4 linked regions of the Rhinolophus ferrumequinum genome follow. The protein of the gene in region 4 interacts with the protein of the main gene of each other region in a pairwise test. Links are inferred from orthologs where the notes say so. Each region holds a gene or a part of one and is shown on either strand. Other genes may lie near its edges.

What was found.
Region 1: the proteins of NRIP1 (region 4) and RORB interact in a two-hybrid assay, tested with the Homo sapiens proteins (2 studies listed by BioGRID). The link is inferred for Rhinolophus ferrumequinum from reciprocal best matches to the Homo sapiens genes NRIP1 and RORB.
Region 2: the proteins of NRIP1 (region 4) and CIB1 interact in a two-hybrid assay, tested with the Homo sapiens proteins (2 studies listed by BioGRID and IntAct). The link is inferred for Rhinolophus ferrumequinum from reciprocal best matches to the Homo sapiens genes NRIP1 and CIB1.
Region 3: the proteins of NRIP1 (region 4) and ESR2 interact in a two-hybrid assay, tested with the Homo sapiens proteins (2 studies listed by BioGRID, with this or other methods). The link is inferred for Rhinolophus ferrumequinum from reciprocal best matches to the Homo sapiens genes NRIP1 and ESR2.

The regions. Positions count from the first base shown.
Region 1 is NC_046295.1:40,121,115-40,128,878, forward strand, and holds the start of RORB (nuclear receptor ROR-beta), read left to right. Parts: upstream 1-4,757; 5' UTR 4,758-4,806; coding exon 4,807-4,846; intron 4,847-7,764. UniProt on the Homo sapiens protein: Nuclear receptor that binds DNA as a monomer to ROR response elements (RORE) containing a single core motif half-site 5'-AGGTCA-3' preceded by a short A-T-rich sequence.
Region 2 is NC_046311.1:4,054,690-4,061,750, forward strand, and holds the start of CIB1 (calcium and integrin-binding protein 1), read left to right. Parts: upstream 1-4,044; 5' UTR 4,045-4,201; coding exon 4,202-4,252; intron 4,253-4,375; coding exon 4,376-4,410; intron 4,411-5,397; coding exon 5,398-5,506; intron 5,507-6,087; coding exon 6,088-6,238; intron 6,239-6,371; coding exon 6,372-6,490; intron 6,491-6,572; coding exon 6,573-6,661; intron 6,662-6,870; coding exon 6,871-6,892; 3' UTR 6,893-7,061. Other genes in the region: GDPGP1 (GDP-D-glucose phosphorylase 1), read right to left, coding at 1-546. UniProt on the Homo sapiens protein: Calcium-binding protein that plays a role in the regulation of numerous cellular processes, such as cell differentiation, cell division, cell proliferation, cell migration, thrombosis, angiogenesis, cardiac hypertrophy and apoptosis.
Region 3 is NC_046289.1:31,538,843-31,546,336, reverse strand, and holds the start of ESR2 (estrogen receptor beta), read right to left. Parts: upstream 3,003-7,494; 5' UTR 2,960-3,002; coding exon 2,541-2,959; intron 672-2,540; coding exon 499-671; intron 1-498.
Region 4 is NC_046285.1:11,293,176-11,300,710, forward strand, and holds the start of NRIP1 (nuclear receptor-interacting protein 1), read left to right. Parts: upstream 1-4,514; 5' UTR 4,515-4,825; exon of another isoform or gene 4,826-4,986; intron 4,987-5,620; exon of another isoform or gene 5,621-5,811; intron 5,812-6,035; exon of another isoform or gene 6,036-6,361; intron 6,362-7,535. UniProt on the Homo sapiens protein: Modulates transcriptional activation by steroid receptors such as NR3C1, NR3C2 and ESR1. Also modulates transcriptional repression by nuclear hormone receptors.

The sequences.
Region 1 (7,764 bases), on a different chromosome or scaffold from region 4:
TCCATACATTTTATTGACTCTCTATGCTAAACACTGGGAGACACACAAAGAAAGGGTTTTATCCCTAAGGAGCTTACAGTTAAGGAAAAAGATAACCATATAAAGAGGATTAATGAAGAACACCAGGACCAAATGAGTGGTGGAGACATAGGAGCCCAGGGGAATCACTGCGGATGGAATGGTCAGGGTATGCTTTGCACAGGTGGTCGGAGTTGAGCTGGGTTTTCAAGAATAGGTTGCATGTGGGTAGTTGGAGCGCAGTGGAGCGAGGCCTTCAGGAGGACCATGGAGGAGAGAGAAGTGGCATGAAAAAGGAATTTGGGCCAGAATCCTTTGGATAGACGCCTTTGGCCTTGGATCACAGGGTGAGTGCCTGAAGACAGAGCTGATCTAGGCAGGCTGTGAAAAAACAGGCCAAAGAGGAAATTAGGTTTATCTTGTGAATCATGGAGAGCTGAAAAGTTTTTGAGAAGGAAAATGATATGACAAAACTAGGACTCTAGAGAAATCCCAAACATTTCTTCCTTCTTTCCTGACCATATACCCCTTATACAGGCTGGCTCCCCATACCCTCCACCCCCACCCCCACGTATGTGTTCCTATCTCCAACCCTGCCCTTTGTTACTAGGGGAATGCGCAAACTCTGTGCATCAGGATGCCACTGAGTCTGTTCGGATATTCTTTGATACCCACTACCTGGTTGGTCAGAGCAGGAGCTAGATTTTTTCAAGGATTAGGAGGCATGAGGAGATACAACTTTCTAACCTGAGATTTGGCTTCCAGCACCCTATGAATATCATATTTCCCCCAAAATAAAACCAGGTCTTATATTAATTTTTGCTCCAATAGACACATTAAGGCTTATTTTCAAGGGATGTCTTACTTTTTCATGTACAATAATCTACATTTATTCATGTACAAAAATCTACATTTATTCAAATACAGTCATGTCATCTTCTTCTGGAACATCGTCATAACTCTCCAAACCCTGAATTCTGGCTTGACTTTCTTGTGACTCCAGTTCCTGTAGAACCATTGGCTACAATCTCTCATGTCCAGCAATAGAGCTCTCCTTAAATGAGCACTTCTTGTCCGTGTAGCCTGCTCATAGTGCACTGGCAACACAGCGGTCAGTGATTTTATCCCATGAATTCTTCACCCAAGTCATGACCTTTTGCAGGCTAGGCTTCTCAAAGCTTCCACGCTGATTTCTCTCCATTCTATTTTCAATGAAGTCATTGATTTCCATGTGCAAATGGTCCCTGAATGGCTTATTTATTGCAATATCAAGAGTCCGGAGATACTCTTGCGGGAATCATTATTTGATCTATTCTTCTCACTGCAAGGAAGTTCTTTATGTCTTTAGCGCGGTGAGTGCTGGCTGAATCCCAGACTAGCAGACCTCTTTGGCTACCTCGCAAAACAAGTGGCAGCATTAAATTGACCCACTTCCTTATAACTGCTTGTATGCACCAGGCTTTTTCGTTTCAAGAACATAAATGCCGACACACATTCAACCTTATCTTTCTTGCCCTTAGTGATGATTAGAGGTGGGGCTTTCTTTCCATCCAGACAAATTGCCAAAATACAGGTAACACATGCACTTTTGTAACCAGTGGAGGGAATGTAGTAGATTGACAAGGCACCCTTCTGATCAATTGTCATCCAGCCAGTGTTGTGACGCTTTGAATTCTTCTGGGGATATTTCTAACTGCAGTGCCATTGCAAGGGCAATTGCTTGAATATCAGCCCTGTGCACAACCAAAGCCTTTGCTCTCCTGTCAGCAATCCATTCACAGATGATGTCTTCCAGCTCAGGAAATAATGGTTGCCGACCTGATCCACACTTGAGCTTCTTAGCATTTCCCTCGTCTACCTGTTAGCTGAGGTTATCATACTCTGCTTGCCATTTTCGGACATTCAGAGATCCAACTTCTCTTTGTAGAAAGCTGTAAGATTTTTGCCCCGGGAGTCCTCCACAATTCCTTTCTTTTACTCAATGGAATAGCTCTTTCTTTTTGCACTCATCTGGGGCTCAAAATATTATTCCCTTTAAATCTACCATTAAATCAAGTGTTAATTGAAGATGTAAGAGACAGGAGTGGCAACAAAAATGATGACAGTTAAGAATGATGGTCCACACAAAAGTGACGGAAAATTGCAGGCACCAAAATTCAGAAACATTTCTTTATTTCACACAAGTGCATTAAGTACATCTGTTACAACACACAGTGTATTGAACTATGAAGATTCATATTAGACACAACCATGTCCGTTGGTTATCAAGTGCGCACGTTTTTCCTGCGTTGTGTCTGTACTCCGATTGGTCATTGGGCAATAAGTCTCAAGTTCATCTGTTTACATTGGTGTTTACTTCTCATCCAAAGGCACCCACTTAGGTATTTACAAATACTTAATTACAGTTTGTATTATCATTTATTTTTAGTATTAATGTCAATGATATTATTTATTTATATTTAATTATATATTGATATTATTATTTTATAATTCAATACATCCATCATGTGTTGCAACAGACGTATGAAATGCGTCCATCTGGCTGACAATCTTAACTGGGGCTTATTTTTGTGGTAGGGCTTATATTACGCGCATGCTAGGGCTTATTTTCCAGTTAGGCCTTATTTTCGGGGAAATATGGTAGTTGCCTACAAATTTCGTTCCACACAAGTTAGTATTTAATAACCTTTAAATAGTTCACAGAGAATAATTCTGTTTCCTCATTTAAACTATAACACAGGAGACATCTGCTATCCCCCAAATCTGTTTACGTTCTGGCCAGAAAGAGTTTTTAAATGACTTTCTTCCTTCCCCTTATTACCAACAGGTCTAAAAATATTATTTCTAGTATTATACAGAAAACTGACAACTACAATGGAAGAATTTAAGTAGGATTAAATTGATTGGTTTTCAATACACACTGGACTGTGAGCTCCATAATATTTATTTCTCAGTGTGTAGTACGAATAGCATTAATTATTAGTTAGTTAACTAATTAATTTGTATTGACTGAATGAACAAATGGTAACTAAAGCCAACAGCTAAAATGCATATCTTGGAGATAAGTCAAGGCAAGCAGATTCATTTTCAAGTATATTTATTGAATTTCCAATATGTACCAGAACCTATGCAAAGGATTTTCACATTTACTCCTTCCTCATGCAACTCTAGTGGGTAGGTGTTATGATTTTATTTCAGAAATATGCAACCTAAGACACAGAAAATATTAAATAACTTACCCAAGAATTCAAAACCATAAGTTTTAATTCAAATTCCAAGATTCGTTCCTTGAGCTTTTCCCAAATTTATCGATCATAGCAAATACTTGAGTACTTTTTATTATAGCTTTCCAGGCCCCTCCTCAGAAGATTCTGACTCAGTAATTGGTGGGGGTCAGAAATCTGTACATTTAACATACATCTCTGGTGACTCTGAGAAACATTCCAGGAAGCTTCAGTCCTGGCAGCCCATTAGGAACACTTTGGATATGTTTAAAAACTTTAGATGCCCTGGCCACACCAAACAAATCAGTGGGAGGTAAGAGAGAAATCTCTGGGCATCAATATTTTTAAATTCTCTAGATTATTCCACTGAGCATGCAAAGCTGAGCACCACTGGGTTCAGTTCTACCACGCTAACAATAGTATTTGATGGATTTACCCAGCCTCCTCTAACCACCTCTCCACCCCTGGCCTTCCTTCCTGTCGAAAAGCAGTTCTACTACAGTGTAAGCCAGAAAAAAAGCAGAGATGTTTAAAAGAAAAGAGAAATAGAAGGAACAGAGATCAAGAAACTTTTTGTGACAAGGGATTAGTGAAAAGGAAATGATAGCTGTCAAAGGTGGTGGGGATGTGAGGGCTAAAGAGATAGATTTGAGATTTATCGTTGAAACAATTTAGTAACTCTAAGCAAAAGTTAAATAAAGCGGACAGTCATGTGAGTATTTTGCTCTCCCATTAAGGTCGTGCTGTTTTCTATGGAAGTCAAAGCAGTTTTTACATATTCATATATTTATCCTTCCTAGTGACAAGGGTGGAGGATCAGAAATTTCTGTCTGTGTACCTTCATCATTCTTATAAGTGGGAGCACCAAGGCATGTTGTGAGAATGAAGTCACTTTAGATCTCAGGGTTGGGCCCAACTGGCCCACCTAGTATTAAATGCCCAAACTGGTTCCCAGGCTTTGTTGCCACTGCTGCTATAACTAAGATATGCATATTTTATTTGACTGTAAAATGCTCGTGTTTATCAAGAACTTTGGTCCAGTATTTGGGAGAACAGGAACATGGTATTACCTGTATGCAGTCCTTCATCCCTGGAAGTCAAGAGAGGATCTAAAATAAATGGAGCAAGCTAATCCTGAAGGAAATTTATGTTATATATTTATAATCACAGAGATAACTCTGTTACATGGCATATGCCTATTCCAGTGGGATGAAAATACAGGAGAATTGAAATGTAGAAACTGTATGTATCTATGTAATTCTGGGGGGTGGGAAGGAAGTGATGTTTTTAGACTGTTGATTCTGATTTAGCAAATGCTGCATTATTTTGTGAATAAGTAGTATTAGAAAGAAAAACCAGTATTCTACCTCCTGCCTTTCTTGCCTGGGCACCCTTCACCCTTACTTAATGAAATGGAACAGTTGATGCCTTTAACTCCTCTTTCATTTAATCTCATTAATGCAGTCTGTTGGGATTCTAGTTGTGGAGTAACATAGAGACAGTCGTCAGACCTCTAGTGAAAAGTGCAATATTTTTCATTTAGATTTTTAATTGCGACATCAAAATGTGTGAGAACGAGCTCAAATCTAAAGCTGACGCCACTGGTGAGTTTTACATTTTCTTTTCTCTTCTGACGCTTAGCTGTATGAACTATTCTCCAGACAAGACAGTAAGCATTCATAAGGTCTCAGAAAAATAAATTAATGGCTAGGTGTGGTAACAATAAAATATATTCTGACTTCAGAATGTATATAATAAATAAGTCACTCAGACTTTATTTTACACTAGAGAACACATTTATATATAAATATTATCATATCCTGAAGGCTACCAAATGTGTGAGTTTTAAGATTGAATTCAAATAGTCATCTGCCACATTACACCAATATGAGGTTAACAGTACAAACATCCTTGTCACAATTTTGTAGCTTTGATTTTAATCATTGACACTGCTATCATTATGTTCATTTCAACTTTTCTAATTTTTTAAAAATTCAGTTCATAAATACATTATACCAGATACTTTGTCATATGTAAGAAATCTGTTTTCAAAAAGCAAAAATTCTATTTGGTTAAACGATGATTAACAATGAGATGAATTATGTTGTTTTTTCTCCTACATGTTTTACGTGGAAGTTAGTGCATAGTTACCTAAACATACATTTCATAACATAGGCAGGTTTTGAGTATTTGTCTTAAAAATATTTCAGGAAAATATGATGCATGATTTACTGTGATTTTTGCTAGTTGCTATATAGCAGTCAGCAACAGTTGGAAATATTAAAATGTAAATCGATGGAATTGCTTCATTCAAATAATATAAACGTTACAATTGTCCAAAAAGTTACTAATCAAACTAAATCTTATCTAAACTCAGCATTATATCTTTCTACAATGCTTACAGATTCCTGGTGCTTGTATTTTTAGAGAAAGAATAGATATTGTTTCAAGGCAATTATTTACCGGTTTCAAAATACACGTGTTTAAAAACTTTATTGGTGAAATAAGCCATTAACAGCAGATTGCAGTTCTGATATCAATGAAGTCTTAAACAACTATTTATCCTTATGACTGACAGATTTACTCAGGATATTGTTGCTATTGTTGTTCAGAAATTAATAACACTGGACGTATTAACGTCTATGTACTTAATCCTCTTTGGGTTTGAATTACAATTAGCAAAGGCTGACAGGTGAGCATAAATGTTCTTCTTTCCACTTATTTGATGTAAAAAGACACATGGATTTCCTCTGTTGTAAAATTACATAAAACACAGTGTTTGGTTTTAGGAGCTTACATCTGTATGCAAACACACAACTCATTTTCTAAATGAACTGCATGAATAAGTGTGTCTTTACATTTTGCAAAGAAAAGCAGATATTTTACTTTCCTCTTAAATTTTAGTGGAATTAAAAGGAATATCCTAAATTAAAGCTGCAGCTTTTTTTTTAAGTTACTACAGTAGAATACTTGGTGCCATGATTAGCAATTTCTGGTTTTCACCAGTCTTTTTCTTCTATTATTTCCCTCTATTGTTATTTTCCACCAATAATAAGTATGTCTGCTATTTTAGAAGTAATTCAAGCCTCTAAAGAAATGTAAAAAAAAAAAAAACCAAAAAACTTTTTCTCCTACAATTCAGTCCACCTGGTAGCATCAAAATTCCTTTGGTAGAAATTAATGTGTAAGAGAGACAGCTAACAACCATAAATATCTCCAAGCAAATGTAATTGTAAACTATCAAATAATGATTACGAATTTTCTGCTTGTACAAGAAAAAATTCAAAAGGAGGATTTGTTAAAATGGAATTTGAAAATCGCAGTCTCTATTCTTACTACTTTGTCATCGTGTTCGTACAACTCCTTCACTAGCTTACATAAACGCTGAATAAAGCTGTTAAAGATTACATGCAACATGCTGGATCTGATGAGCTCAAAAATAAGATAACTCGGGTCCTGTAATATCTAGGATTATGCTGGTAATCTCTTTAGGGAAAGTGTACAGTCTCAGCAGAACAGGTACCGCAGTCTTCAGAGGAGCCATGCACTAATTCTACATTTGTTGGGTGTCTATGCTTTTGCCTACATGGATACAGGGTATATGTGACATTTATCATAGGGTGAAATTATAAAGAGAGCTTCTAGAGTGACATCCTAAATTATCACTTTACCCCTAAATAATTTCTGGTGCTGCATGCTGAGGAGAATACCTTCCTCTAAATTCTATGTGTCCCCTTCTTTGAAAAAGGGCATCTATGTAAAGATGAACTAAACCCAAACATGCCTTTCCACAGCCTCTGAACTCATTTATGTCTCTAGAGATGAAGTAAAAATTAAGATTGTCTCTGTAATCCTATAGTTTCTTTTTATTTCAAGATTCAATGCTGAGGCAATGGCAGATGAATTGCAATTTGCTAGAACATAGATGATATAATAATGTAATTCTTAATACAGAAACTTGGGATATATTTTGCTATTATAGCATTGTTTATGTTAAAGACAAAATCAAAGCTCTTGTATAAAATGCAAAAAATGAGTTCCTAAAATCTGAGTTCTTATACAGCAATCACTGGTATCATTATATGTCCAAGGTGTTCTCCCATAAGTGAAAACTCCCTAATGTCATGTTGAAGTGCCTATTCATACAACGTTTTCCCTAAGTCAACCCTCTGATGGCAAAGTAACTCTTTGGGGCTACTGGTACTGGTTGTTCTTTTTCCATTTCTCTCTTTCTCTCTCTTTCTCTCTCTCTCTCTCTCTCTCTCTCCCTCTCTGACACACGCAAAACAGGTGTAAATATCTCACCCAAGTTTTGAAGTTGTTTATATAATTATTTGCTGCATCAAATAATTTGCTAAGGGCATATTAAAATACAGAAGTGTTTTTAAATATGACAGAGTGACAATATTACTGTTTAGTTCTCTGCCATTCAAGCAAATTGTAAGCTGTTATGAGTCAGTTAAATAAAGTTATTATTACATTAGGAAGAAAAAATGTTAATATGGCACTAACATTCGGATCT
Region 2 (7,061 bases), on a different chromosome or scaffold from region 4:
CAGCAGGCGCTGGGGTAGCCCCCGGGCGGGCTCCGGCACCAGCAGCACATGGCCCCACTCCAGGGGGCTGACATTGATCAACACGAGGATTTCCTCTTGCTGGAGAACATCTGGGAGACCGGGCTCCCGGTGCAAACGGAAGAGGACTTCTCCTGGCCGGATTTTGTTGAAGTTAAACTGTTCAGGGTCAAATGGCTGCCTCACGCTCCTGATGTTCTGGGGGGGCCTCCTCTGCACCCCTCGCTCCACATTCAACTGAGCCACAAAACCCACAGTACCAGGGAGGGTTTGGGTCTGCAGCTCCCCCAGGCAGTAGCGGAACAGCCCCAGCTCCATCCGCTGCCTCCAGGCAGAGCAGAGCACAGTGTCGAAGCGAGACAGCGGCAGCGTGTTCAGGAAGCTGGGTACGTTCCTCGGCCACTGAATCCCTTCCTGCATGAGGTCCTTCTGTCCATAGACAAAGTCAGGAATGCCTTGCCCTTCCCAGTCCTCTTTGTTCGGAGGTAGCAAATACGAAGTTTCATTTGAACCATGTGGAATAGCCATGGGCTGACCTGAAACAATCATAAGGGGTGAAAAACACAAGATGCCAACCCTTTTCCATAGATTTAATTTTCAAATAAACTCTACTTGTTTTGATTACAAAAGTAATATATGCCTTTGGTAAACATTTTGAAAACACAGAAATCACTCATAATTCTACCACGTGTAGATTAGCATACATTTTTGCTAAGTTAAAAATATATATTGGAATTAAAAAAAATTATATATGCTAAGTCAATTTTTTTTTTTCTTTTTTTTTTTTTTAACTTTTATTTATATAAGTGTGTTTTTCCAGGACCCATCAGCTCCAAGTCAAGTAGTTGTTTCGATCTAGTTGTGGAGGGTGCAGCTCCCAGTGGCCCATGTGGGGATCGAACCGGCAACCTTGTTAAGAGCACCGCGCTCTAACCAATTGAGCCAACCGGCCACCCCTGAGTCAATTTTCTTAATGGAGAAAAAAAAAAAAAAAGATAAAATACAACCCTAATTTCAACGTCCAGGGAAAAAAAAAAAATCACTATTTACACTTGGCCTAAGTTTCATATACAGATGGATCTTGATTTGTAATTGTACATACAGGTTGTTGCTAATTTCATATTATCATACAGAAGGTTGCAATGAATATCCTGTGTATCTACCTTTGCCTATATGTTTTTATTTTCCTTTAAAGTAAAATCCCAGTAGACCACTGGGTCAGAGTAGGCTCATGGCTCAGGCTTTAGATATACTCCGTCACACTGCTCTCCAAAAAACTATACCAGTGTTCCAGTGTATGAGAATGGCCAGGGTTTCAAAGCTGACCATGCCTCCTTTGATGGAGATAGCTTTTCTACTGTTCGGTAGAAAAGTGATTCCAAATGATTGTGCATAGAGCCACTTGGGTGAGGGTGGCCCGGTGTGTGCATAAATGCCCAGCCAATACTTCAAGGGGGAAATTGGTGCCTGTCTTCATCTCCCACTGGGGCCCTGGAGTCCCGTGGATCCAGTGGTGTCCGGGAGAGAGACCTGCTGTTGGCGCAGATGGAACTTCAGAAGGAGACTTACCTCAGTAGAGTTGCTGCAGTCCAACCTTGGGTTCCCTCTGCTCTGCTGGTCCAGAACCTTCACATTAATAAAACAAAGGGAAAAAAGAAATAAATAAAAAAACATAAAAAACATACAAATGACATACAAAAATTTAAGCTGAGTTTCACGGGTATAGAGTTTCAGTTTTGTAAAATAAAACACTTGTAGATCGGCTGGCTGCACAATGTGAATATACTTACACGCTATTGAACTGTACACTTAGACATGGTTAAGATGGTGAATCTTCTATGTTTTCTTACCAAAATAAAAATTTAAGTCAAGCTAAGCGTAATTTTGACAATAACATGGAAAGGCTTAAATTATTCTATTAAAAGCGAGTTTCAAACATTTCTCCAAAGAAGATACACAAATGGCCAACAAGCACATGAAAAGATGCTAACCATCACTAATCATTAAGGACACGCAAATCAAAACCACAATGAGACACCACCTCTCACCCATTAGGATGGTTACTATGAGAAGAAAAAAAACAGAAAATAATGGGGTTGGTGAGGATGTGGAGAAATTGGAACCCTTGTGTACCGTTGGCAGGAACATAAAATGATGCCACTAAATGACGGCATTTCCATAAAATGATAGAAAACAGCACGGTAGTTCCTCAAAAAAGTAAAAAGAGAATTACTATACGATGCAGCCATTTCAACGTCTGGGTATACGAGGCTGAACCAATAGGGCCTCTTGATATCCTGGCTATGGGGACTGTAGCAAGAGGGAGAAGTGGGAGTGACTCAGCTGCCGAAACTAGGTACACTGCAGTGGCATTTACAACGAGAGAGAATTTAGCTTAGTGCTAAATTTCTTGGGCAAAAAAAGCCTACTGTCAAGATCATCAGGTTCGGACAGAACTCCACCGCAGTCACTTTGACTGGCTGTGGTGTTCCCATTACTCTGCAACCTCCGCTTCTTGGAATGGAATATTTCCACAATGGTGGGGCTCACACGGTGACATAGGGAGTCTTACCAGAGTCGCTCTCCGATGATCACCTTACTGTTGAGTGCTGGGAAAACTGGTCACTCAGCAAACACTTCCTCAACAACAGCCACATATCAGGTCCTAGAGATCACGATTCTCATAGGTCATCAGTCTAGTGGTGGAAACAGACATTAACCCAATCATCACCCAAGTAAACAAAAACTGCAAACATAATACATACTGTCAAGGACGATCAGAGTACCCTGACACTCTGAGGGGGTAAGAGATTCCTAATCTAGTCTAGGGAATCAGGAAAAGTTTCCCTGAGGATAAGATGGAAGAGGAACTGAAAGCCCATAGTGGCTGAAACACAGAGTCTGAGGAGACAGCAGAGAGGCTCAAGTCAGACTACAGAGGGCTGGAATTTGGGTTTCAAACCACTAAATGGTTGTAAACTAAGACTGACATGCTCAGATTTAGATTTTACAAAGATATGCACGTAGAATTAATTGGAAGAATCAAGAATTAATCCCTCGATTTTATCTGTCATGTATACCTCAATAAAACTGAAAACAAAAGCGAATTCTTCTCACCTCAACCTCCTCCTCTCAGCAGCCTGGACAGCTCCCCTTTTGGGATAGTGTAGGAACCTGCACTATCATTCATGCTTGCATCCGATAAATACTTACTGAGCCTACTCTGTGCCAAGCATTGTCCTAGGGGTTTTCAGGGGCAAGAGCTAACAGGTCAGCACAGTCTGGGTGCAGGGTGGAATATTTCTACAACAGTGGGGCTCACAGAGGAAGGCACATGGGTGGGAGTGAAGGGTACAACAGTGGGGAACTTTGAAGAGAGACTGAGAAGGGAGTGACGACTTTCTAAATGCCAGAGCCTACCTACACAAGTCTCTCAATCTCTCGGGACCTCTGTACTTCCACATTTTGAAATGGTACCCTACCTCGTAGGGCTGTTGTAAGAATCGAAGTAACTATGCACACATCTTGGCATTAGGTGGGTCCTCAGTAAACAGCCTCAGTAGGCAGCAAAGTTATGGTTATTTCTGGAGCGGTGGCAAGAGCTCTGCAACACGCGAGGCGGATGCCGGGTGGTAACGTCTGGATGGAAAAGCAGTCCCTGAGCAGAGGGGTAGTCGAGGGCCTCTGGCCACTCAGCGAGTTTTTCAGTTAACGTGGCTCCAGAGACTTCCCTTCTGCCTCTTACCGGACCTCGCCCAAGGTCGCCGTCGCGACCACCTGCTGCTGGTGAGGAGGATGAACCGCGCGACTTGGCTCAAGGTCCTACCGCGGCCATTGCGAGGGCGTGGTGCTCTCAACGCATGCGCAGCCTGCACGCACGCACGAGGCGTGCCCCGCCCCTCTCATCCCCGGAGGCGGAGCCGTGCAGCCTGGGCCCCGCCCCGGAGCGTCCGACCCCGCCCTGGGGCCCGCCTCCAAGTTGCCGGGGACCGCCCGGAGCCGGGAGCCGGCGGCGGAACCCGGCTGGGATCTCCTGGGCGCGTTAAGGAGGGGGCGGGCCCGGGGACGCGGGCCCCAGGGGCGGTTGCCGCGGGGACGGGGTGGGGACGCGGCCCGAGGGCGGAAGTGAGAAAGTTGCCGGCGTCCCGAGACGAGTCGGCGGAGCTGTGCGCGCGGCTCGGCGATGGGGGGCTCGGGCAGCCGCCTGTCCAAGGAGCTGCTGGCCGAGTACCAGGTGCGCGGGACTCTGGGCCCCGGGGAGCTTGCGCGCCGGCCTGAGCTCGGGAGCGGAGTGGGAGCGGGCAGGCGGGCGCGGCCTCCGGGCTGTCCGCTGACCGCGTCTTGATCTGCCTTCCAGGACTTGACGTTCCTGACCAAGCAGGAGATCCTCCTGTAAGTGCCGTCGCGAACCTCCTCTCCGGGATCCTCTAGAGATGGCTTTCGGGGGGCTGTCTTACAGATGGGCAAACTGAGGCCCCGGCAGAGGGAGGGGCCTGTCTGAAGTCGGCCAAGGAGCCGGAACTGGAGTCCAACGCCCGAGCCCTCGGCTGCGCAGGGCTGCGGGCACGCCCTCCCCGCCCGCACGGGGGCCCCACCTGTGCAACCTCCAGCCGAAGTTGGGCGTGCTGTCACTCTGTGCTCCACTGACCTCTGCAGACCCGAACTGCCCGGCCCAGGCCGGCGGGGGCTGCTGTGGCTCTCGGCTGATTGCCTACCGGCAAAGCCAGAGAAGCCCTGGGGAGCCTGGCTCCTTCTCCCAACTTTAGCTGAATACAGAACCGTTAACGCTTACTGAGCACTTACTCTGCGCCAGGAACGGTGCTGAATTACCCCTACATTACCTAATTTAATCCTCCCGAGGGAGGTACAGGGGCAATGAAACAGGTCCAGAGAAGACTGGTAAGTTGCCTAAGACTCTGAGAAAGAGGATTTGAACTGGGGCTGGAACCCCCTTCCTAGCCGTGTGCCAGCTTTATGTGGCCAGAGCTTCCCTTGGCTAAAGTAAAACCAGTGGGAAGGAGGTGGGGCTGCGGAGGAGATAGATCCTTGTGGCTCCTAAAGAGGGAGGCTTTGAAGAGCAGACCCCTGGCTTTCTGCCCTTTCTCCCTGTTCTTCTGGCTCCTTTCCCAACCTCCGTCTCTCAGGAAGCTCTAGAATCAGTGCCCAGCACACAGTAGGCCCCCTGGAAATACTCAGTGCAAGATTGGATTCCCAGCCTGTACCATCTTGTGACATCTATCCTGGCTTATCAAGCCTGCCGACTCAGTTCTGTGTGTGTGGCTTAGCTCCTCACCTGGTGTGCAATGGACAGTACTGGCAAGAAGCAGGAATGTAATACACACAGGAAGGTACACCAACGGGTCCCCCTCCTTCTGCCAGAGCCCACAGGCGGTTCTGTGAGCTGCTTCCGCCGGAGCACCGGAAGACGGAGGACTCACTGCAGGCACGAGTGTCCCTGGAGCAGATCCTCAGCCTCCCAGAGCTCAAGGTGCCAGAACCCCCACCCTCCCTCTGCTACTCATCTTGAGGTCCTGCGGTCACTGGTTCTCTTTCTGGTCTTTTCTCTGTTTAGCCCTACTTTCCTGGGAGCAAGGGCTTTACCTAAATCACCCACTGGAACCATCTAGAATGGTGTTTTTCAAATGGGGCTTCTAGGGCCTGTCTTGGAGCATCAAAGAGGGAATTGAGTTACCTATTCAAGGTTTGAGAAACCCTGTTCCAGAGGCTATTGCCTCTCAATAGGGCTGCTAAGAAAATTTCTCTGTCCAGCGCTCATTGCACAATAAGCGTTCAGTTAACTCCTTGTGTTATAAATAACCAGCCTATCTTGTTCTCTTTGCTTAGGCTGCTTCCCTCTTCCTTCTCTGCCCTCAGGCAGACCTGGGGGTTAACCTCTGACTCCCAGAAGCTGCCCCGCCCCGTCCCCAGCTGGGTCACTGGTCCTGCCCCCATGCTGGCCCCAAAGTGCAGGTCATTCTCCCCCACGAGCCTCCTCCCTCTCATTCCCGGTAAGGTTTGAGTGTGTGACTGGGCTGTGTCCTGCGGCATTCACAGAGGCTCTCTTCCTAGGCCAACCCCTTCAAGGAGCGAATCTGCAAGGTCTTCTCAACCTCCCCAAACAGAGACAGCCTGAGCTTCGAGGACTTCCTGGACCTCCTCAGTGTGTTCAGTGACACAGCGACGCCAGACATCAAGTCCCACTACGCCTTCCGCATCTTCGGTGAGGCCCGGAGGAGCCCGGTGGCACTCATGGCCTTCCCCGTGGTCTTCCCAGGGGAACTGCTGGGAGCTGGGCGTCACCCTTGGAGCTCATCCCCACCATATCCTCTTGGGCTTCTGTGTCTGCTGTCTAGATTTCGATGACGATGGAACCTTGAACAGAGAAGACCTGAGCCGGCTCGTGAACTGCCTCACAGGAGAGGGCGAGGACACGCGGCTCAGTACTTCAGAGATGAAGCAGCTCATTGACAACGTGAGTATCCGGGCCCCGCGGGGATGGGCCCAGGAGCCGAGGGCAGGGCTGTGGCTTTGGCCTGATGTTTTCTCTTTCCCAGATCCTGGAAGAGTCCGACATTGACAGGGATGGGACCATCAACCTCTCCGAGTTCCAGCACGTCATCTCCCGTTCACCGGACTTCGCCAGGTATAACACCGGACTTCGCCATGTGGTTATGGGGGTGGTGCCCGGTGGAGCCCCCCGCTTCCTCTAACTGTCTCAGGGTAGCTCTTCTTCCAAAGGGAACTGACAGATGTGGGACACAGTGCATTCCAAAGGGGAGAGATGGAAAAGGTGGCGTTACTCCTAACACTTCACTTCCAGCAGAAAATCCAACCCACTCTTCTTTTGTTTAGCTCCTTCAAGATTGTCCTGTGACGGGAGCCACAGCGTGTGTCCCAGAACCTTTCCAAAGAACCTTTCCACTGCTGAGCTGTGGCCAAGGTTACGCCCGTGTGCCAGAGCCGCCAGGCCGGCCCAGTCGAGCTGGCAATGCGCAGTTTGTCCTGGGTGGGGGAGGGCTCTCCATGTCAGGGCGTCTCCCCTT
Region 3 (7,494 bases), on a different chromosome or scaffold from region 4:
GTAAGAAACACCCCGAGATCAATGCTCAAAGTCCATCAGAATTGAATTCCTGATTTCTGACCATTTCCATAAAATGTATTTATTCTCTATTCCTCAGGAGCCAGCCCACCATAACGACTGCTACCCATGCCGGGTATTAAGCATAAGTCAAGGGAAGGAACAATCTTTGCAATTTCTAATGAGTGTGCATTTTTTTCCAGGCTTTATCTTCACAAGGGTTGTAACTACATATCTGCTCTCAAGAAGATGGTGATGGATAATGGTAGGGCGAGACCATCTGAGGTCTGGGGTTCTGGGGTAGAGATCTACAATGAAAGATAAAGCGCTCTACACTTGAAACAATCCACCCTCCCATCTACCTCACCCCCAAACACACATGATCTTCTGAACTGCTCATTGAGTACCAAACAGGCCAACAGTGACATTTCTGCCAGGTCATCTGCAAAACTGTTTGAAAGTAAGTGAAAACTAAAGCAGCAGCTAACAATACGCTTATACCTTGAATGCTTCTTTTAAAAAAGGCCTTACATCCTTCACACGACCAGACTCCATAGTGATATCCCGACGCGTAGTCGCTGCAGACTGCACAGAAGTGGGCATCCCTCTTTGAACGTGGACTAGTAACAGGGCTGGCACAACTGTTCCCACTAATCTTCCTTTTCAGTGTCTCTCTGGAGGCAAAGAAAACATTCATTGGAAAAGAGCATTAAGGGGAAAGGAGGAACTTTCTAGGGAGAAAGAAAAGCAGCAAGAACATTGCCCCATTTATCTCTTTGCCCTCCAGGGTTTATGACAAATACACTCCAGGAAATCTGCTAAAGCAAAACCTCTGTTACTGAGATCTGTGAAGGGTCCCATTGCTGGAATGACTGAGGTCTGCAGGTGATTAGGTGAGTTTATGCCCTTCCATGCAGGACTGATGAGCACTAGTGACTACGGAAGACCACTTGTAGCCATCGTGGTGCACAGCTTTGCATGGGATAAGTGACCAGATTGAGTCCTGCCCACAGTTCTGAACCACGAGTAGGTGTGTGGAGGCCTTCCGAAGTTACCGAAGTTCACCGACATGCACGGAGGGGCCTAAACTCACCTAACCACGCCCACGCATCAGGCAGTCAATCCCCACAGGGCCCTCAACAGCCCTTCAGAGTTCCCAGGTAACCTGGGATTCAGAATTCATTCTGCAATTTAAGATAAAGGTCTAGGATGAAAAGAACTTTAAGAGGAGTAGCAAATGGACTTTAAGTTACATTGAGGTGAATGCTATATTCTGGTTTAGAGAGGGGAGGAAGGGAAAGGAAGGGAAGGGAGGGGAAGGGAGCAGAAAAAAGGGAAGAGAGAACAGAAGGAGACAGAGTGAACACACGCGTGTCCTGAGAGAAGGCTTTGAAGAAAGCAGGTGCTCATTGCCGAGTGGAGGGGCAAGGACTTCCGTAGATGAAGGGAGAGCCCACGAAAGGAGCACTGGGAGGCCCCCAAAACACACCCGTCTGGTTCCTGATTTCCCTGGGGTTCATTTCTTTTGGAAAGGAAATAGTAGAGGTGTGACTGATCTATAAATGAAGGGAATTATACTATGGTTTAAATTACCCAAATATTAGCAGAACTCTGATTAGAGCTCATGCTCAGAAACCAAACTTTTCTTCCATGAAAGACAATGAAAACTTTTAAAAAAGCTATGTACAATTTCTATATAGTCTTTAATTTTGCCAACAAAGTTCTTTAAAAGGAAGAAAAAATTAAAACCCTGTATAATATGGCTTTCTCAAAGCTTTATGACAGCATTTGAAAGTAATGAACTTCAATATCCAACATGCTGTAACTTAGACTTTGGTTGTTTTAGAAGTTTACCTCCCCCTCATGCGTCTCCCTATACCACCCCTTCCCTCCATAGCTATAATTATCATTAAAAATATTACGAATTAAATGGCAATAACCACCGTGTTACCTTGCATTTAAAGAGTATAAACAAATATTCTTTTTAACTTCTAAAAATTTCAACTAAAGTCTACATTTAAACAGTTTCCCATCAATCTCTACAAAATATTATTTTAGTCCATTGTTAAAAAGTTAGTATACCAATTGTCTGTCTTTTCAGGCTTCACGTGTCAAGTATTTCATTTAAGTTGTAATACTGCCACAGGTACTTATATCCTGGATGCAATCTGTCATGAACACTAACTTGTGATTTCACTACCAGATAAGAAGGATTCAAACTGAAAGCAAAATAAAAATGTATTTTTCAAAGACAAATCACTTCATCAAGAGAAATGTGATTTAAGTTCAATCTTTATTGTTTAAAGACAGTAGTCATGATAGTGAATTCTCCCCCACCACACAAATCTACAAGCTCAACTTTTTAATGACAGCTAAAATATCAGGATAGATATTCTAGAATTCAGAATATCACGCTTTAGATGCTCTGAGTAATCTATATGACTAATAAAAACCTTGTATATACACATCTTTCTTCTCACTAAATCATAAAGTGATTTGAATAATGCTCATGAAATACAATTCAGAATGAAGACTGGATTTACCTGTTTACAGGTAAGGTGTGTTCTAATGATCTTGCTTCACACCAAGGACTCTTTTGAGGTTCTGCATACAGAAGTGATGACTGGCAATGGATTGCTAACGGAGAGAGGTGTCCAGGAGTTGGCCACAACACATTTGGGCTTGTGGTCTGTCGACTAGGTCCACCGTCCGAGTTATCAACACTGCTGGGAAGACTGTAATTCATCACTGCAGGGCTATAGAATGCCATGGCTGAATATTCATGGTGGCTCTCCACATACGAGGAAGGTATATATAGGGGGCCGTGCTCCAGGGGAAGGACAGATTGACCGCAGTTGTAGGAGGCAGGAGAATTAAGGCTAGATGGTGAGTTTTTGATATCCATGTCTTGAATGGGTAATATCTGAGGAAACTCCTTGCGAGAAGAGCCACAAAGCGACATTGTAATGTTCTCAAAGTCTCATGAGCAGGTATAATGGCTGGAAAGAACAACAAAGGACAGTTCTAAGTTAGTTGGAGCTACAGGCATACCTGTTCAAAGTGTTCACACATTTTTATTAAACACATACACGCATTTGTATGAACTTAGAAATACATCCTGAAAGATATACATGAAAATATTAACCTCAGAGGGATGGGAATATGTGGCACGGAACTCTCATTTTCTACTTCATTCACTTCTTTATTGCTTTTGTTGTTGTTAACCACAAGAATATTTTTTACCATGAGAATTTGTTATAAAATGCTTTTTAAAATTAAAAACACAGGGTTAAATTAAAATGTCAATAAGTTGTCTTCTTTTAATATGGAACAAGTTTATTTTAAAGTTCTTATGAACAAATAAACAAGAACAACCAGGAAAACTCTGAAAGAGCAGATCAATGAGCAGGACCAGCATTAATAGATACTCAAATACACTGTGAACTGCCAATAATAAAAAACAAGGAATAGACAGGTCAATGTAACTGTGTCAGTTATCAATTCATTGTCTCTCAGCTTCCAATGCACCCTTCAATATATGCTCTATAATAAATGGAATTCCTGTAGTATTTAAAGTGAGCCAATGCTAAACTTTTTCAGTAGAGGGCGCTGCAGGAGTACTGTAGCAAGACGAGGGTGGCAGTGTGGGTCTGAGAACATGCAATGGAGTCTGGCCCAGCCACGTGTCCACAGGGAGGTCCCACTGCAAACTTTCGGCCTCTGTGTGGTGATAAACTTTCCACAATCACCTGTCCAGACTGTGGCCTGAGGAGTCACATGCTGAGAAGTCATTCCCCCTGCAAGCCTCCTCACTCCACATGACCTGCAATTCTGAAGGTCTTCTGCCCCCATGGGCACCTGGCCTCCTGGGGTATGCCCACACCGCCAGTCACTGAGCACCCGCTCCCGGCCTGCAACTCCTGACCAGCTCCAGCCTGGCTAAATCAGCGAACATCTCTGCCAGTTAATGGTCCAACCACCTTCCCCCCTGAGGTCTGATCCCTTCTAAGTTTGTCCTTCCTTGGGTTTGCTCTCTCAGCTCTAGGGTACCATATAAAGTTTCCTTATATCTTATACTTAGTCCCTTACCATAGGTAATTAATTATAAGTAATTCTTTATATTAAACCTCCCCTGTTCAACCTATTATGTGCTTTCTATCTTCTGATTGGGCCCAGACTGCTACATAACAGAATGGAAAATCCCAAAACAGCAAAACCAAAATCTCAAATGTTTTCAGAAATTTGGTATATGATAAAGGTGGCATCTCAAATCACTGGGAAAACAGTGGGCAACCGAATTGCCAGTGGAAAAAGAATGCATGTCAGAATAAACTCCAAATGGTTCAGAGATCCAAATGTTAAAAGAGAAATGGAAGGAAGGGGGAAAAGGGGGAAAGGACAGGTAGGGGCTGCACGAGTGCTGGAAGCAAACAAAGTAAATCCCTTTATAAAATGGGTGTGGGGAAAACCTTAACTATGGCTAAAAATCCAGATGCAATAAAAAAGGATGTACATAAAAGCACATCAATTCAGTACATAAAAGTAAAACTTGGCATGTCATAAAAACACACAATAGGCAAAGTCAAAAGACTAATGAAACTTGGAAATAAAAATATTCTCAACTTAGATTAGAAAAAAGGGGATAATGTCCCCAGTATATAAAGAGAACCCTTAAATTAAGATTTTAAAAAAAAGACAAAAAAATACACTAGAAAAACAGGCAAAAGACACAAATAGAACATACACACAAAGAGAAAGCAAAACACATAAAAGGACGCTCAATCCCATTCATAAAAGAGATACAAATTAAAATTTTACCAAGATACCATTTCTCATTTATCATGTTTGGAAAAAATTCAAGTATTTGACAACAGATTCCCTTGAAAAGGCTGTGGAAAACAGGGACTCTTTCCTATGTTGCTGGTGGGAATGCAAAATGGCACAACCCCCCTGGATATTTATATATATAGTAATATAAATAGCAATATATAGCAAAATTACATATACTTTTACCCTCTGGGCTATGAGTCCATAGTGTTAATCAAAAAAAGAAGAATAGAATCATTTATTACCATCGATAGTGATTGATACACCAGTTCCTCATTCTGAAAATTAGTAATTAAGGGGAAAAATTAAGCCTGTACCCTGCCTTTTAAAGAGGCTCTGTAGAGGGAAACCCCTTACAAAAGAATGCCACCTAATAAAAAGAGTTCAGAAAAAAAATATTTGGATGGATAACTAGATAGATAGATAGATAGATAGATAGATAGATAGATAGATAGATAGATAGATAGAGATAAGTCAAAATGTTAACAATTATTGAATCTGGATGGTGGACATATGGACATTCATTATGCTAATCTTTCAATGTTTCCATAAGTTTGAAATTTTTCATAGGAAGCTTTGGAGAAAAAACAAAAAAATACAAGATTAAAAATGGAAACCTTAAAAAAAAGAATAACTGGAATAATATAATGTGGAAAAGGGAACAATAGATGACTAATAAATAATGAGACTCCTTGAGAGAGATCATTAAGTAAAGAAACTTGCCTTGAGAAGTTCTCCATCTTTAATATCTTCAACTCCAGCTATCACCTACTTCCATATGTAGGCAACTTAGCTATCTAAGGCTCTGAATTACCTTCCTCGTGACATTTTCATTTGAATGCTTTTCCTCCATTTGTCCTCAAAACACAATATATCTATGGTGGTTTGAAAATAGCCTGCAAATTCTTCAACACTTCTCCCTTCAAAAGGTGTCGCCTAACCTCCCCCTTGAGCATGGACTAGATTAATGACTCATTTCTAATGAATACATTATGGCAAAAGGAATGGTATGTGGCTTTCAAGACTAGGTCATAAAAGGCATTGCAGCCTCTTCCTGGCTTACTCTGTTGGATCTCTCACTCTAAGGAAAAGTAACTGCCATATTGTGAGGACACTTAAGCAACCCTATGGAGACGTTCTGCTAACAGCCAGCAAGGAACTACCGCCTCCAGCCAACAGCTATGGGAGTGAGATACGTTGGAAGCAGATTCTCCAGCCCCAATCAAGCCTTCAGATGACTATAACTCTGGCCAATTATCTTGATTGCAACCTTATGAAAAAACCTAAGCTGGAACGACCTAGCTAAGCTGCTCCTGGATTCCTGATTCCAAAAACTGTGAGATGTTCGTTGTTTAAGTTGCTATAAAAATTCTATGATACTTTGTTACAGAGCACTAGTTAATTAATACAATATCCAAAGTAATATTCATCATTTTCCTCCCCTAAACCACTCATTTCCTATTTGTGTTCATGACAAAGCCCGTTACAGTTACCTTTGACTTCTCCTCTTCATCCAATTACCTTGAATCACCAACGCATTTTTTTACCCACTTCAGAGTATCTTTTCCCCACTCTGTCTTCTGCCACCATCTGAAAGTTCTCATTACTTCTTATCTGCGCATCTGTAACAGGCTCCTTATTACTCCTTGTCCCTAGTTAGCTCCTTCTCCAGGTCCACGACCGGCCAGGTTAACATTCTTAAAACCCAGCTCTGATCAGCCCTCTGCTTCCCACCAACCTCTCTAGTAAGTCACACTGTTCTAACATTCAAGGCATTCCACTATGTTGCCCCAACCCATCATTCCACTCTGATCTCTTGTTATTTTCCTACAGGAAACCAGCGATGTCCTTAAAGAATATGCAAAATGCACTGTTGAAGTAGTTGGCATTTTATGCCTTAGTACTTCTTTCACTCTTAGCACCCCTATAGTTATTTACAAACCAATTTAATCCTTTATATTAGATTACAACTACATTGAATCCTTCTTGGAAATGGTAGAGTTGGGATGGGAGAGAAAGAAGTAAGTACAAGTTAGATTTTAAACTCCTTGGAGGCACACACTATATTCACCTTCCACTACAACTCAATAAATATTTGTTATAAGCAAAGAATATGAGGAAATGAGTTTAAAATATAAGATTTCACCAAGTCAAGGCTATTAATCAAAGATGGGAGCACTTTCAGTAGGCGTGCTACTGTGCTGAGACAGGAGAGCTAAAGGAGTCCCAGGACATGGACCCTGCCTCAAGGAGCCATCGTGCCAGGTAAAGGAGGCAGAACGGCCCAGGTAAAGAAGAAGGACCTAATACAAAAGTGCTACCTACCACTTCTAATCAACATTGATTGACCACAAGGGATAGGAGAGAGATTGGTAGCTGGAGAAGAATATAGGATCGAGGAATTTTTATATATATATATTTTTTACATCTATGGGCATTTACTAATCATGAGTATATAATTTCGTGTTTCAATTAGATGCCTAATCAACATAACTCTCCCTGATTCCTAAGAGAAAATATGCAGGAAAAAGCATATAATGCTAGCTACTGTCAAAATTAGCAGTTTCCAAATTTTTTAATTGTGGTAAAATACACATAACAAAATTTACCATCTTAACCATCTAAGTGTACAGTAGGGTAGTATTAAGTACATTCACACTGTTATGCAAC
Region 4 (7,535 bases):
TGAATCTAAAGAAATCTAAAAGAGATATGTCAGAGTCTATATCAATTTCTTTTGAGGGTTAAGCAATTGCACAAATTGTGTATATACATAATTTTCTTTCATAGCTTTATTCCCTACAGAACCTTCAATTATTTGGGAAAACAGATATGTACTTTGCTTTAGTTGAAAGTTATCTGAATACAATCTCTAAAAATTAATAGGCTCATGATTTACCCAACTGATTTATATACAGATGTATGTTTGTAATATCCCAAAAAGAAATTTTGTATTCATTTATGACAGTATTGCTTAATGAAATCTACATAACCCATTTCTACATAAAAAGATAAGATTCCACGTAATGTTTACTTTCAATCACTTAGACATGTTAAACTAACACATCATCAAAACTGACAGGTTTTCCTTACCTTCACTGGGATTTCTTGCCTTTAGATCCCTAACTATGCTAGACGTTTTCTTATTGGGGGAAAAACAAGACATTGTCCACATTTGTATTTCATTGCTGTGCCTGCCTTTTTCTCACACACTTTCGGCTGGTTTCTGTTGGTTAGTGGTGTTTAGCTATACTGTTATAACGACCACTCTATTTTCAGACTTTTTTTTAAGATCCAGTTTTCAGGATTTATTTTAGTGTAGAAATTGAGTGCCCTGGTTTTGCCAGTTCTTGGCACTCAAGCCCCACTGAAAGTAAAAGGCTCCAATCTCATTAGGGAAAACTGCATAGTAACCTGCAGACAGGGTGTCTAAACATCTTTATTTTAGCTCCTTAGACCTTTCTCAGTACTCAGGGCACTGCAGCACATCCTAACTGCTGCAGCTTCCAGCAGGTGACTGCCTCAAACAAACGATGGGGTGGAATTTACAGTCCTCAAGTAACTGGGTAGGGAGACTTGAAGAGCAAAACCCTGGGCCTCTTTATCCAGGAAGATGCTTGACAGGAATTAGCATAGTGGTAGTTCTGTGTTCTAGGGAAGACCATTTTTTTAAAAGCTTATTCAACCCCAAATGTATAGTGCTTTATTTCTGCCATATAGCCAGTTTACATTTTTAGTCCACCACCAGAGTTACTGGAGACAGTAGTTGTATCTACAATATGGTTAATGAGTACACAGTACATAAAATATAAACGTTGCTGCTTCTCTAATTGGCATAAAAGCCTAGATGCAAGAAAGTAGTCTTTATAACATAGTATAGGTAAACACCAGTAACCAACAAATAAAACCTGAGGTTTAACAAGATTTAGGTTTTCATTTTTAAAAATGTCCTTTAACGGTACTATTCAAGATTTCATTCATTCTCTAAAGCTGTGCTGTCCAACACAGCAGCAATTAGCTACATGTGGCCATTGAGCATTTGAATGTGACTAGTCCAAATCGAGATGTGCTATAGGTGTAAAAGCCACACTGGAGTTTGAAAACTTGGTGTAAATAAAAGAATACAAAATATCTAATGAATAATTTTTATGTTGTGTACACATTGAAATAATACTTTTGACATATTGGATTAAATAAAGTATGTTATTAAACTTAATTTTACCTTTTTATTTGTATTTTGAAATGTAGCTACTAGAAAATTTAAAAGTACATATGTAGCTTACATTTGTGGCTCAGTCTATATTTTTATTAAACTGTGCTTCTCTCGAGGCTGAGACTAACTACATCAGCGTGACTACACTGGAATTCGACCTGTACTTGTATATATTTTTGTCAGTTGTCATAGTTCATTAGTCACTAGTTCAAAGTTTATAATGTGGGTTCAATACTTCTGAATATATATTTTTGTTTTCTTCACACTGTTCTACTTTTAAACGGTGTTTGCCCTCTCCTGAGAACCCCTTTCCCACTTTGCCTACTTGGCAAATTCTTCTTACCTTTTAATAGTCAGTTGAAGCATTATTTTCTCTGTAAAATTTTCTCTGAACTCCCTTGTTCCACACCTGCACCCCAAGTAGAAATAAACACTCTGTTCTCTGGGATAAGACAGTATCTTGCCCAATATCTACGAAATGCCTACTGTTTGCTGAGCACAGTGATAGGTGGTCGAGGTATCCAAATGTGAACGAGAGGGATATGGACCCTGCGACTGTAGTGTTTGCATTTAGAGTGGGATACAGACATGTAAACACCAGGTCACAAAATGATGTGGAAAATGCTCTTATAGGAGAGATCAGGGAGCACATATATACAAAGCTCTCCCAGACTACTTCTTTGTGGATAAACATAGTGAGCCTGTACTATAAGTATTTGATCCCTTAGGAACCCTTGGTTCACAAAATACTTATGTTTTTAGGTATATAAACTGAAGGACATCTTTTTCACATCACCACTGGTTAAAATGAGAATTGTCTTTAAAACACAAATTACTGGGAGGGGGTTGGGAGCCTGGGTCAAACAAGTGAAGGGATTAAGAAGTATAAATTGGCAGTTACAAAATAGTCATGGGGATGTAAAGTACAGCATAGGGAATATGGTCAATAACATTATAACTGTATATGGTGTTAGGGGGGTACTAGACTTATCAGAGGGATCACTTTGTAAACTATATAACTGTCTAACCACTACGCAGTACACCTGAAACTAACATAATATTGAATGTTGAATGGCAACTGTAATTGAAAAAAATTTTTAAAAATACAAATTACTGAACAGGCATTCTTATGTTACACATATGCCCCAGTATCCTTGCAATGACTCTCCTAGCCAGAAAATTCAGGTATTAATTTTTTTAAAAACAAAGAACAGTAACAAAATGGCTCCAATTAGCATGATTAAGTAAAAATGAATTCCACAAAAGGTGTGCAATTTACTTAACATTAATGCACTATCAAAAAGAGATCAGGATTTCAGTGATTGGATTTCTGTGGAGTTGAGAGGATAGATTAATAATAAGAGGTGAATGGCGCTGTTAAGTCATGTGACAAGTGGCAGTAGGGTTTTTTACACGAGTGTTGAAGGGCAGGACTAATGCTTGGCTTGTTGGGTTAATTGTGTAACCTCACGCATTAGGAGGTTGTTTATCTACCAATCTCAATGATCCAAAACCTAGTTAGGAAGGAAAAAAAAAATGTTTTTCAAAGCAACATTTGAGCAGTCCAGATATCTATCCCAAAGTCTATGCACTAAGGTTCACCTGCCTTACTCCTTGGTGAGCTGCACAGAACCTATTTAGTTTTACTTTACATTGAATTGTGACAAGTGAGGCTATCTGGATTTCCCAGTCTGCAGCAGACTAGAAGCTGCAAATCGGAAGAGGAAGAGAATATCAGCGACAGACGTGTGCTGGCAACACAGAAAGGACAACAGATTGTTGGTTAGTGAAGGGGGAGAGAGAGGAACTATAAAAGGCAGAGATAATCACTAGGTCAGTGTCCTAGAGTCCTTTCCTGTAGCCATTGGTAGCTCACATACCTTCTGGAAGCATCCCTAACACCTAGGAAGAAGCCTTAGCGCACATTGAATGGGAACTTGATGTATTTGTTGAATGCAGTAGAACCTACTACGATAAATACTTTTTATAAAATTAACCCTGAATTTTCAAGAAAAAGCCAAAGGAAGTCCAGTAAATTGCTTAAGAGAAACATTGATGATACATGTTATAAAATCTTTGTACAAGTTAAAAAGAATTAAAAAAATAAAGTGACGCCTTAGAGGGCCAAGCTCTAATTATGCTGATCCTCACTTAATTTGAACAGTTTGCATCACTCCTGGATGAAGGATGTACTATACAACAGCAGACTTAGCACTAAGTTCCCTTGAGCAGCTTTCAAACTGCGGTATATGCAAATAATAAGCTATCATATGAGAATTAAACTATATAGGATCACAACAGATTGCAGTTGAATCACTAGGTGATGTAAAAGATTGTTCTAAAATTCACCATCACCATTAAGCAGAGTAGTCCTACTATGTGCCTAGCCCTACTATGTACTAGGTGCTGGATTTATTAAGCATTAATTTGAAAAACTGCTTTCACTTTTAAGATTGTGAAGATATTCCAAAACTCTCATTCATATTTTTAAAGCATAAATGAAATTTTAAATGCACAATACAGCCATTACATAACAGGCATAGAATACTGTTTTATGACTTGCATAGTTCTTTTTAAGCACACTAGCAACTCTATTTTCAAAAGCTATATGATTCTAAAGGATATGAAAACCTACATATAAAAACGGAGTGCCTCATTTGTTTTGTGTAATAAGTGTGATAACACAGGCATGCCATTTCGGAGTTTAGGGTGAGGCTTTAAGCCGTACTTTGGTGTTTCTATATCAAGCAAAAACAATTTCAGCAACAGCACTCATTTCCCCCTCGTCTTTTTTTTTTTTCCTGGCGAGTTACTAAATGCTAGATGCTAGAGTCAAAAAGAAACCTGACATCTGGGGAGGTGTTGAGGGGGTGTTAATAGTTATAGTTAGATGTTTGGGGAGCGTTGAGGATAAGATTTTATAACAGCAAATACAAGAAGGGAGAAATTATGATCTCTCCTCCCTCCACTTTCTCTCTTCACCAATCCATATTCCCTCAATTTAGAGGCGGGTTCAGCGAGATTAGGCTGCAGGAAACCCAGAGGCTCCACAGCGCTGCCGCCCGGGCCTCGTGATGTAATTGTTATTTCTTATTCCGAGACTGAACCGTGGAGAGCTGCCGAAGAAGTGGCAGCCTTGTTCCTTTCGCCTTGTCTGGCAGGGTCAAACTCTTCCCGGGGATGAGTATATTCGCTGACAAGACTCCGCTGGTGACTTCGCAGTGACAAAGCAGCTGAAGATAAAACCCTGCTCCTGGGTCCTTCGTCCGTCCAAGGAGCTGAACGGGACACTCCTCAGGTCTCCTTCCCAGTTTTCCTCTTGGAATCACTCCGCATTTATTCCTGGGTGCCTACTACGTGCTGGGCGTGGGGTCAAAGTGACCTGGAGTTAGTGCCCGTCCACCCTGTCCCCCTAAGATTAAAGCAGGACACACAGATCACAAGGTGGTGAAGTTGGGGGTGAGTGAGAGGGAGCCAAGGGAACGCGTGCTGTTGGGTGAAATGGGAGGAGGCGCCAGCACCCAGGCGGGGACCCTGGGCGTCCCGGCCCCCAGGCTGTGCCCCAAACGCGAGCCTTTGGCCTGTGTAACGAGAACGACGCCCCGGGCCCCAGGGAGGAGCTGTCCAGGCGCCTTCGGCAGTCGGGGGCGGCTGGACAGAGCCGGGAGCCCGGGGGACGGCTCGGGTGCGAGAGGCGCCCATCTCTCCCGGCCACCGCGGTCCTCCCGCTGCCTCGGGGCCCTACAGCCCCCGCCCGGCCGTTCGGAGGGCGGGCAAGGAGGAAAACAACACAACAGAGGGGGCTCCTCAGCTCCCGTGAGCGGCCGGGACCCGCGTGGCTTCCTCCGGCCCCGTGACAATGGGAGGGAGGGGGAAAAAAGGGTTAAGAAACTTGGCTGAGGAGCTGAATGGCGTGGAGCGGCGAGGGGAGGGACTGGGCCGCGGCGGACTCGGCGGCGGAGGGAGGAGCGCGGCTGCGGGCGGGCGGCGAGTGAGGCGCTCAAAGTCAGCCTCGCAGACATTGCAGCAGAGCCCCGAACTCGGGAGGCGGCGGCGGCGGCAGCGGAGAAGGAGGAGGAGGAGGCGGCCGCGAGGCGGAGGGACGACCCGGCCCCACGCCCGCCCGCGCGCGCCCGCCCGTGGCCTCGCGTCCGCCGCTGCGCTTGGCAGCGCTGCGGCTCGGAGGGAAGAGCTCGCCCGGGCGCCGAGGGAGGACGGGGCGGCAGGGCGCCTTCGTGGAGTGAGCCTGACGGAGCCCGAAGCTCGGAGCCGCGGCGGCCTCGGGTGAGTGGCGGCCGCAGCCGGGGGGCTCGGAGGAGCGGCCGGCGGCGCCGCCGGAAACGGCTCGGGAGCGCGGCCCGCGGCGGCGGCGGCGGCGGCGTTGGCGGGCAGGGCCGCGGGGGCGTCGGGGCGGCGAGGCCAGCGCGACCCGCGGCGAGAGCGAATGCAGACAGCGGGGAGGGCTCGGCGGCGGGGAGGAATCGTTTCCGGGGGAATCCCGCCTCTTCTGCCGGCTCCGAATCTCCCCGGGACCTCGGGGGGCCCGGGCAGCGGGGCCGGCAAGTTGTGGAGTTGGCCCGGGGCTCACTGGCCGAGCTGTGCCAGTCCTGGGTCGAAGGGCGGCCGTGTGCCCTGCGAGCCCGGCCAGACGCGGGGGACCGGGCCGGGGTCGCGCCCCGCTCGGCTGCCCCCTCGGCCCCGAGTCTGGGGCGCTTCTCGCCGCGCAGCTGTAGGTCCTGCTGCCCGGGGCGTCCTGGGCGGCGCCGGGCGCCGCTCCCCGCCTATCGCCCGGTGCCTCCCTGCTCTGAGCTTGCCTGATTCCCGGCCAGGAAAAGTGAGTAGGAAAAGGGACAGCGCTCCCAGACCCCCAGCCCCACGCGCGGCCCGTCGGCACTGTCCTTCCCCCTCCCGAGTGCGAGCGCCCTGGACCCGAGGCCTCAACCATCAGCTTTACCCCTGAGCCAGAAAACGGACTCACATTTAGGGTGAGCCCGTGGAGATCTTGGGAGCCTTCTTTTCTCTCCCCCTTCATCTATGTTCTCCTTACTACTAGTGATTGTTGTTGTTTTATGAAGGGTTTCCCTGGAAATATTCCACAAACCCTCCCATTCTTTCCAAAATAGTTGACAAATTTTCATCAAGAGTTGGTTGGTGTTCAGTCTGAAGGAACAAAGGAATCAACTGTGCCTGAGAGGCGAACGAGCTGGGAGTCAGTGACACATGTTGATCTCTGAAGCATTACGGGAGTTTCTACCTTCTGTCCCATTAGTGACTTAATAGGCTTCTGGGGATAGTAAAGTAACAGAATGATAAATACTTTTGAGTTTTTAAAATATTTTTTAATAGGACATTTTATTTGGAGGCAAAAAAAAAAAAAAAAAAAAATTCCCAGCTCCAAGGACTTTTCACTCACTTGGTGGAACTGAGTTGGAGTTTGTTTCCAGTAATGTAGAAGATTAAATGTGAGATTGTACAGGAAAAACTGTCTTTAAGGGAAGGAAGATTGTCTATAGATGTCCAAAGGAAAAATGATTGTCAGTTTTTATATGATAAATTCTCTTTACATTTTTGGGGAGGCATTTCTGAAGTAAAGGGCTTTGGTAATTCATTCTTTAAAGTTATGAATTGCGTTGAACCTGCTTATTAGTGAATCATAGGTTTAGCAAGTGGGTGGCATCTTCCTGATGTAATTATTCAATGTTTAATCACCAGTTTGCTACCTTTGTTGAAGAGACACTGAAGTAAGTGGACGTTTTAAACAAATGGTGCTTCAACTGCTTGGCACCTAAGTGTGGGTTGCTGCCTGGAAGATGTTGAAATATTTTTCCTTCGAAGTAAGTTGTACTGGTTTTGCTCAGCCATTTGGTAATGTGGATTGGGTTTAACTGGTTCAGAGACTAGTGGATTCATGACCAGTAGTAACTTTTCTCTGCCTGCAATTAGTTCCTGGAGACAAAGAAGAGGCAGTCAATGGAACAGCCACTGTAGGCTGTAGGATTGTTACTCTA